2 linked regions of the Caenorhabditis elegans genome follow. The protein of the gene in region 1 interacts with the protein of each later gene in a pairwise test. Each region holds a gene or a part of one and is shown on either strand. Other genes may lie near its edges. The genes, in order: syx-4 and unc-43.

Region 1 (4,310 bases):
ATTTGACAATAGTCACAAAAGTTTTTGACCACCCCAAGTGTTCTAACTCGGAGCCAATTTTTTCAGGCATTTTTCAGATCTCGGTTCTTTTCAGCTTTGAATTGAGGGTTGTGTTTGGATTTTGCTTTGTTTAGAATAGATTATTACAAACCGACAAAAGTTTGGAAAAAATCCATCCAAAAAAATTTTTTTTGGTTGGTCATCAAAAAATCTTCAAAAATTTTTTTGTCGAATAATAATATTGTTTATTTGTCACAAGAAAGAGTTACACCGGAAGATAAAAAAAAAGTAGAGATGTGTGAAACAGATGTGTGAACAAATAAGTGAAATGACCAGCCGGACCAGCCATAGTCCTGGAGGTCAAGTTGGGGGGAAGAGGGTGTCGAATGGAATAGAGCCTAGGCGCGACGCAAATGCATTTGGAGAAAATTCTTGATTTTTCCTACAAAAATGATGTAACCAAGTGTAAACTATTTTTACACATAAAAGTCATTTGAGTTTGAAGTTTGAATCTCAAGAAATATTCAAAAAACTCAAAAATTATCCGAAAAAATTATTTTTTTCTATTACCATTTTAGTGTTTCGAACTAAACTGATATGTTTTGTATGTGTAAAAATAGTTTACACTTGGTTACATCATTTTTGTAGGAAAAATCAGGAATTTTCGACAAAAAATTTTTTCGAAGATTTTTTGACGACCAACCAAAAAAATTTTTTTGGACGGATTTTTTTCCAAACTTTTGTCGTTTTCTAATAATGTATTCTTAACAAAGCAAAATCCGCACACAACCCTCAATTCAAAGCTGAAAAGAAGCGATATCAGAAAAATGCCTGAAAAAATTGGCTCCGAGTTAGTGCACTTGGGGTGGTCAAAAACTTTTGTGACTATTTTCAAATGAAAGACCATGGTTGATAACATAAATTCCCACAGTTTCATAAAAATCGATAAGCAGCGAACAAAGTTATGATTTTTGACCCGGAACTTATTTGGAGACCTAATACTAACCATATTAATTCAATAAATTTATTTGAGAAGATCTTCAGGTGAGTAAATTTAATTTTAATTGGAAAAGTATAAAAGTTGCTTGTTTCTGTTTTTTATTTCCACTTGAACTGTCATGGTTGGAAACAAGGTGATGTGAAGTAATAGCAACTTGAAGATAATCTTAATTATTTCTAGCCAATATTTTGAGTCGACACAGCAAATTTTGTCCTCGACAGGCCACCCAAACCAGCTGTGATGACACCTTTTGTCTGGTGTAAACACTATTTATCTCTCTTATCTCTTCTATTATATTTTTCTTTGTTGTTAATTGTGGGTGTCCATGACAACTTGGAACATTGCTTTATTCATGTTTTGTTTTGTCAACGAAAACATCAGATGTTAGGAAAAGGTGCATCTTATCTTTAAATTTGAAATAAACAACATGGTACAAAGAACATTTGAAATAATCTGGAAGAAAATTTTGAAACGGTTTGCTTAAATATGGAAATATTTTTTTGGAAAAATTGCAAAATAAATTTCAGATGTCTGGAAAATCAAATGTCGATTTCGCGAGGGACCAACCCAAGGAATGAGAGAGGTTCGTCGGGAACAAACGAGCAATGGAGAATTCCCGAAAGTTCAAAAATATTCTAGTTTAATTGTTTTCCAATTTTTGTGCTTTTTTTTTGCTTTAAGCTCCATAATCTTTAAATATTTGTTCAAAAAATCTCACAAAAGTCAAATAAAAAATTTCAATTTTTTAAAGCCAAAACTACAGTACGACGAGACTCCGATATACCGGAGGCGCGCCCTGTTTAGCGTAAACCATAATTGACTTTTTTTAAATTTAATCGTATTTTTGTTCTTTTTTCTCAAGCTTCGCTTAAATTTCAATGCCTTTCTAAAAAACGTTTCCTAAAAAACCACTATTTGCGTGTATCGCACTAAAATTCGATTGTTTTGGTAAAAATCGAAATTTCCAGAATGGCTACTCGGGACCGTCTATTCGAAATGCACCAAATCTCTGGAATCAACGCTGCAAGTCCGGAGAAAAACAATTCAAAGGTAGAATAAATGGAAACAACTAATATACAAGAAGATTTTTGACATAAATTATATTTTTCTTTCCAAAAACTTGAAAATAATGTTTTTTTTTCAGTTGGCAGACGTCTCATTGCAACAATTTCTGGCGAATGTCGACGAAATTCGTCATGTCTTGACTACGCTGAGCGCAGATCGACACGCAATTTACATGGAGCAGGTAAAGAGAGAAAAGAAACTGTGACAAATCAGAAATAATGCTCAAAAAATCCGAAGTTTGATTCCAATTTTAAAAATATTCGGAAAATCAAATATTTATTGAAAACTAATGTTTTTCTTTGTTTTTAACTAAAAGCTTTCACGAAAAAAAAAACAAAAAAAAACAAAAAAACAAAACATTAAAATTTTCGACTTTTAGCCAAATCATCCAAAAACCACTAATTGCAGGTAGAGTCACTGGCAGCCGGCTGTTCGGACACAGCAAAGTGCCGAAAACTCAACGACCACGTGGATAAGTTCATAGCTCAAGCACGTGGCATCCGTCGTCGGCTCGCTGACGCCTCAGAGGAGCTGGTACAGTATCCGGAGAGTCGAGTGGGCTCGGGGCGAGCAAGACACGAACAGGTGCTTAATTGTCTGAAAATAAACGAACTTAGATCTAAAATCGGTGACCAAATTTACACTAATTTTAATTCTTTTCAACCTTTTCTCGAAAAAAAAATCATAAATTTTAAATGAATAACCGAAACCGCTAATTCCTGATTTTTAAGATCCAAATGCTTATCGTCTCGCTGGAAGGAATAATGTCGCAGTTTGCTGATGATCAAGCCTCCTACAAAGCAGAGGCAGCAAAGAAGATTGCCGCATACCTCCGAAAGCAGAACATCGAGGTGACGGATTCGGAAATTGATGGTGCCATCGAAAACGGGAGCCTCTTTCAATTGACGAGAAACATTAATCTGGGTGTTGCGCAGAAGAAGGCACTATTCGATGATATGAAAAACCGCGCCACGGATATTATGATTTTGGAGAAACAAATTCGCGAGGTCGAAGAACTCTTTGTGGATATGCAATTATTGGTACAAAGCCAAGGTGAGTTATTGATGTTTTGTTAACTGAAACTCGCTTAATTAATACACATAGCTCTTGCCCTAAAATCTTTTCTTTCTTTCCCAATTTTACAAAATCTAGCGGGCATTAGAAAGGATTAAGATCTTCGAAAACAAGAGGTCCCAGTTTTGCTAGGCGCTCAGTACCTTCCCTGAAAAACCGCGAAGTATTAAATTTTCAGGCGAAACAGTGGACCGAATCGAGACGAGCGTGATACGCGCCGAAGAATATGCGGAGCAAGCCCAGCAGAACGTGCGGCAGGCTGTTGTGCTGCGTCGGAAGAACCGTAAATGGAAGATCGTTACGTGCATCGCGCTGATCGTGCTCCTGCTCGTTGTCGTCTACCTTCTCTCCCATTTCCTCGGTGCAATCATCCCGGGTTGGAAATAATGCTATTTTAATTCCTTCGGGTCTATTTTTTGTGATTTTTTTTCGATTATTTTTCCAAGTTTCTACAGTATTTATACGAATAAACGTTTTTCTGCCAATATCGGAACAGTTTTGGCTCACAAGCTCAATTTCAGAGCTAAATTGATGGAAACCCTAATTTTGACTAACTGGTAATTAAATAAAATTGAGAAATAGTCTAGATCGTAGGTTATTTTAAATATCAAATAAGTACATTGTTTTTCCTCATTGGTTTCCTCATTGTTCAGAGAGACCAAAAATGACCGTAGTTCATTGATTTTTTCATGAAAAGAGTTTCTCTTTTTGAGTAACAAAACGATTTCAATTAAAATAATTTTACTAAATAAAAATACAAAAACAATTGAAGATCATTAAATGAACTTTTGGATTTCATCGTAGATGGCAAGAACGAGTGCTCCACCAGTTCCACGGAATACATTTGACAGGGCTCCCTTGAACATGGCGGACATTCCTTCGTTTTTGATGATCTTGACGGCACAATCCAAAGTATTCTTGTAGAGAACATCTTTGCGACCAGACTGCATCATCATGCGACGACGAACAGTATCCCATGGATAGGAGAGGATTCCAGATCCAACAGTAACCACTTGAGCAATAGCCCAGGCAGCGAAGAAGTTGAGTTTCTTGCCATCAGCAGTGAACACCATCTTGGCAGTGTCGAACATTCCGAAGTAAGCGGCGCGGTAGATGATGATACCTTGTACCGAGACAAAGAAACCTCTGAAAAAATAATAATTTTTTAAAT
Region 2 (4,833 bases), 1.9 Mb from region 1:
TGATGATGATTGGAAGGAAGGAGATATGTAGAATACTAACTTATATAGTGAATCATTTTAGAATGTGGACTGTTCAAAATTAACTGTAGAGGCAAGCGCGAGGCGACCCGTTACGCTTCGCCCTGCTGAAATTGCTATACGAAGTAATCGTATATGTAGGCTGTGAGCAAAATTTGCGACACGTAATTCTTATTCAATTTTGAAATTGCATATATGCCTGAACGTTTGGGCTTACTTTTGAGTTAAAAAAAAACTTTTCCTATCTCTGACATTAAAACTGTCTGCAATATATTCTGCATCGAATGTACTTTGCAATTTAGCAGTACTCATCATATTAATCCCACTTCCACCTAGTTTTCAAATACTGTACAAATCTGCAAAAAGGGTTTAATTTCCCAAAAATGTATGAATTTTTGGAATCCAAAAGTTTCGATTTGGATATATTCTCAAATGGTAAAAAATATGAAAATATAACAATTTTGTTCCAGTTGACATTGAAATGTGTCAAAACTTCTAAAAATCACTCAAAAAATCTGCTGGGTACGATTTTTTAAATTTTAGACACACGTCTGCCGGTAGGCCAAGAAGGTGAGCGATGAGTCGTATGAGAGGCAACTCCTCGTCTCGTTAGAAGTTCAATAGATGGGTATGTGGAAAAACATACGCTACTTGTTATTCTCCAATTTCTCCAATTTCTATACTACCGTAATCGTCTCTTTTTCTTGCTTCTTCACAATGTTAATTAGTGCTCATTTTGCTCCGTGTCTTTGTCTAATTTAGTTAGTTATGCTCTCATAAGCGACTCAAGTTAGACATTCTTTACACATATATCTCTATGTGAGCAAAATGTTAATTAGAAGACGACGACGAGCCGTGAGCTGACTATGTGATGTTCAGAGTAGTCAGGAAAAAAAGATGTTGGGAATAAGAAATGGGTGGAGTCTTATAACGAAAAAGGCGGTTGTGAGAAAAGGGGAGAAAAAGAGAAGCTTCTCGTCAAAACAAAACAGAGAGCAATATTTGAAAATGGAGATAAAAGAGGATGAACGAAAGGAAGAAGTCTCAAGAGGTGTGGAAACAGGAAAATATATAAAACTGGAGGGTCTTCTCTATTGATGTTCTATAATAATATCAAAAACTCGTAGGATCAATATTTTGCAAATCAACAGTTTTGCTGTTCTATGAATTTTCACTCTTGATTAATATTAGCTTCATATATTATGCAAATTTTGAAACTCTTCACAATAAAACCACTCAAAAATTCAAATAGTTTCAATCGAAATGTTGCCTTTGTTAAAATCACAGTGTTTTGTTTATTTGCGATTCCAACATCTACAACAGGGGTGTGCGGTAAATTTGCTGAATTTGCCGAGTTTGCTGAGCATCGCTAATTTCAAAAATGTAGACTCGCCGAATTCGCCGAGCTTGGCAAATTTTGACATTCACCGCACATAAAAAATATTTTTAATGAAAAATTTGTGCATGGTTTCGATCTGAAACTTCATGAAAGAATAATCGTTTTTCTTTCATTTTTATTCAAGATATACACATGAGCATTTGGCAAAAATCGAACGAAAATCGGTGAACTAATTGCAAGATTTTTTCATTAAATTTGACGCTTTTCGAGCTCAAAAAAATATTGCGATTTAGAGAGTATGACGACCACGGTAAATTTGCAGAATTTGCCGAGTTTGCCAAACTCGGAAAATTTCAAAATTTGCCGCACACCGCCTCTACAGTTGTTAAACTCTAGCGTGAATAAAGTATGGAATTCATAGAGTTTTTTGATCGACTTCCAAAATTATTATAGATAAAAACTGAGTCCACTTTTTGACTGTAAATTCAAAATTTTTAAAACAAATTAAAAATGTATTTAAAAAATAAAAATTTACGCATATTTATTATCTTAAGTTGCTAAATTTGTAACAAAATTTTTCTAAAATGCTTTGAAAACATTTGAAAGATTGAAAAATGAATACCTTTTGAAAGATTGGCAATGCCTGTAACTGCCGGATGTTCCCTGAACGTGTCTGATTGATTGTTCTGATCTATATTGACCTCTGAAAGAAAATATGGATTAATATTATTAAATTCTTTGAAGAAGAAATGAAAATGAAAAAAAAATGTTATGTGTCGCCTGGCTTCGACTGACGACGACGACGATCGAATTCTCAAATTTCAACGGACGAATTGTTGGCACACATAGACACTTACAAAATGTCAGGTCGACTTTTGTTAATTTTTGAGTATTCTTTGAACTTTTGGAATTCAGAAGTCAGAATATATTGTAAAGGAAAAGGATGAATCAGAAAGTAAGATTTAGATTGACTTTTGAGTGTTGTGCTTGTCTCTGGCTAATGGGTTAATTGCAAGAGAGGTCAATTTCCAATCTTCAGAGTTCATTCGTTTTGGAACTGACCTATTCGATTTTAATGTAGCTTATTTTTCACCAAAAAAACCTGTTTTCTTGGCAACAAACATGGAAAACTTATAGGCTACAGCAACTCTGAACTACTAAGGAATCACAGCACTTTTGATGAAATATGCAAGAAAATCATTTTTTCTAATCAATTTTCCTATTAATTTCACAAAACAATCGAGTGGCAAGGAGGGAACTTAAAAAATCAAGTTTTGAAGTTTTGAAATTTCCCACACATGTAGATCTCAACTCGAATAATATAGTTAGACTAATATCTAATTGAGTTCTAAACTCTAGTTTGAGACTAGACAATGTTTTAATACAAAATTTCATAGTAAACCTTTTCAAAAACTGGCAGTCGTTAAAAAAACCTTTTTCTTTTGAAATTTTGACACTCTACCAAAACTTTGAGTAAAAATGATTAGAGTGTTTAGTAATTATAATATTTGGCCATGTTTACAAAATTCTAAATTCTTACAGGCATTACTCTAAAAATTAGAAATGAAAAATATAGATAAGAAGGTACGAGGTAGGTGAAGGCATGTAGGTAAAAATTTTCGGGACTATGTTAACGGCTTATTGAATAATAGTCTCGTAGTCGAAAATAAACTTTTCTTATTCAAAAAAATCAATAAGGAATTCCAGTTTTCAGTGTGAATGTACCCCGCATTTCTTATCTTACAAATTAAAAAAAAGTTTCATGATATAAATTTTGTGTTCTAATCTGCAGAACAAAGAATGCAAACAAATTATGTTCGATGTTATCTAACTTTTTTTTGTTATTTCTACCAATCAATCTCAGTCAACATGAATCATATATATTTTCAATTGTTAGAAGATAGGAATATTAAAATAGAAACAATCTAACCTGAATTTGTGGAAGAATTGCTCATTCAATCAATAATTTATAGTTTGAAAGTTGATAGATAGGTACAATGACAGTAACTACTAATCAATTAGAATCAATTTAATTTCACTCTTCAATTTCTCAACTTTCGTACGAGTAGGTCTCGGTGTGTTTTCTCTATGTTTCTCTAGTTTTTCTGTGTTTTTTGTGTCCTATGCTACAAAATTGACTACGATAACAAAACTTTGATTTTGAAAAGAGAGAAAAAAGAAGGCGAAACGTACGTAAAATGCCTTTTTTCAAAAGAAAAATAAATGGAAGACGAGAAACTGGTTTCTAGACAGTGCGGGGCGATGATGTGTTGAATTTTGACTAATTATCGGATTATTCTGAGTTTAAATTTTCATTTCTCCGTATAAAACTTTGGTTTTGGATTCTTGCATATTTTTTCATTTATCAAAAAAAATTCCCAAAAAGCAGTGAACTTTTTAAAGGATTCAGACATGGTGAATCTGATCTATTCAAAAAACTGTGTTTTAATTGAAGACACAAACCATTAAATAAAAAAATTTTGTAATTCATTTCTTGGTATTGTTTTCGAAAAACGCTTAAAAAACGCTTCGAAAGAGCTTGTGAGTCTGAAAATGTTCTTCTGAAATATCGTTGCCACAGACTCATAGGCGTCTTCTTTAGAAATAATCTATGTATACTTTCAAATTTTTTTAAAGTTTTGTACACTTAGTCCAACATAATTGAATATCATTATTAAACGCTCCTAACGCCATTTAAATCTTTACAACTTTCAGTCAAAATTTGGTAAATTGCCAAAACTTCAACAACAAAGTCTTGTTATTTTGAGAATTTTTGCTGGTTCGAACCTGAAAAATTTTCAAAAAAAAAAGTTGATTAGAACGTAAATAATAAATTTTGTAAAAAATTAGTAAGTGAAAACTCTACTTGCGGTATTAAGCCTTTTCCAGTTTGTGATGCTTCATCTTCAAATCTAACTCTGAATTGCATATATCTGCAGTCAAAATCTTCCAAAATGCGTTTTTTTAATTCAAAATAGTACAAAATTAATTAATTATATTTTTCAACAGCTCTGAGATTCGAGAGGAAAACTATTTTAGATTATGTCCTAAATACAAGTTGCACAAAGCTTCGACTGAATCTTAAAAATTATTTTTGATGTTCGAAAACACAACGAGGTTGTTGGAAAAATATTTAAATAAAACTGAAATTTCAAATTATCAACTGTTCATAAAACTTTCCTTTATTCAAGAAAAACGCGTAGCTCATTGAGCACTGAGAGCCAATTCACAGACATACACACAAAAAAAGGCGTTGCGCAACGCAATTTTCTGTGACATTTAGCAAGAAACTCGTTCAGTGACCGACATAGTGCAACGTTAACTCTTCTACGGGGCACACCATAAAAGCGAACGACATGGGGATGTGAAAGTGAACGCATCACACGAGCTTCACCCATGAACTCTTTGATCTGCTCCTTTGTGAGATTCGAGAGCTTCGCCTGCTTGATCGCCACTTGAACTGACTTTCCTCCTTT

What was found.
Region 2: the proteins of syx-4 (region 1) and unc-43 interact in binary tests that used the Caenorhabditis elegans proteins (3 or more experiments, as listed by UniProt).

Annotation. Positions count from the first base shown.
Region 1 is NC_003282.8:8,455,312-8,459,621, forward strand, and holds syx-4 (Putative syntaxin-4), read left to right. Parts: upstream 1-1,968; 5' UTR 1,969-1,969; coding exon 1,970-2,050; intron 2,051-2,144; coding exon 2,145-2,246; intron 2,247-2,473; coding exon 2,474-2,650; intron 2,651-2,796; coding exon 2,797-3,118; intron 3,119-3,317; coding exon 3,318-3,526; 3' UTR 3,527-3,622; downstream 3,623-4,310. Other genes in the region: ant-1.4 (ADP/ATP translocase), read right to left, coding at 3,916-4,285. UniProt on the Caenorhabditis elegans protein: Potentially involved in docking of synaptic vesicles at presynaptic active zones.
Region 2 is NC_003282.8:10,346,906-10,351,738, forward strand, and holds the start of unc-43 (Calcium/calmodulin-dependent protein kinase type II), read right to left. Parts: upstream 3,313-4,833; coding exon 3,288-3,312; intron 2,067-3,287; exon of another isoform or gene 2,061-2,066; coding exon 1,980-2,060; intron 413-1,979; exon of another isoform or gene 392-412; intron 1-391. Other genes in the region: Y43C5B.2 (Tyrosine-protein kinase), read right to left, coding at 4,540-4,833. UniProt on the Caenorhabditis elegans protein: Acts in the signaling of a variety of pathways and processes. Phosphorylates 'Ser-319' of daf-16 in response to stress signals, such as heat, starvation and oxidation, which plays a role in prolonging lifespan.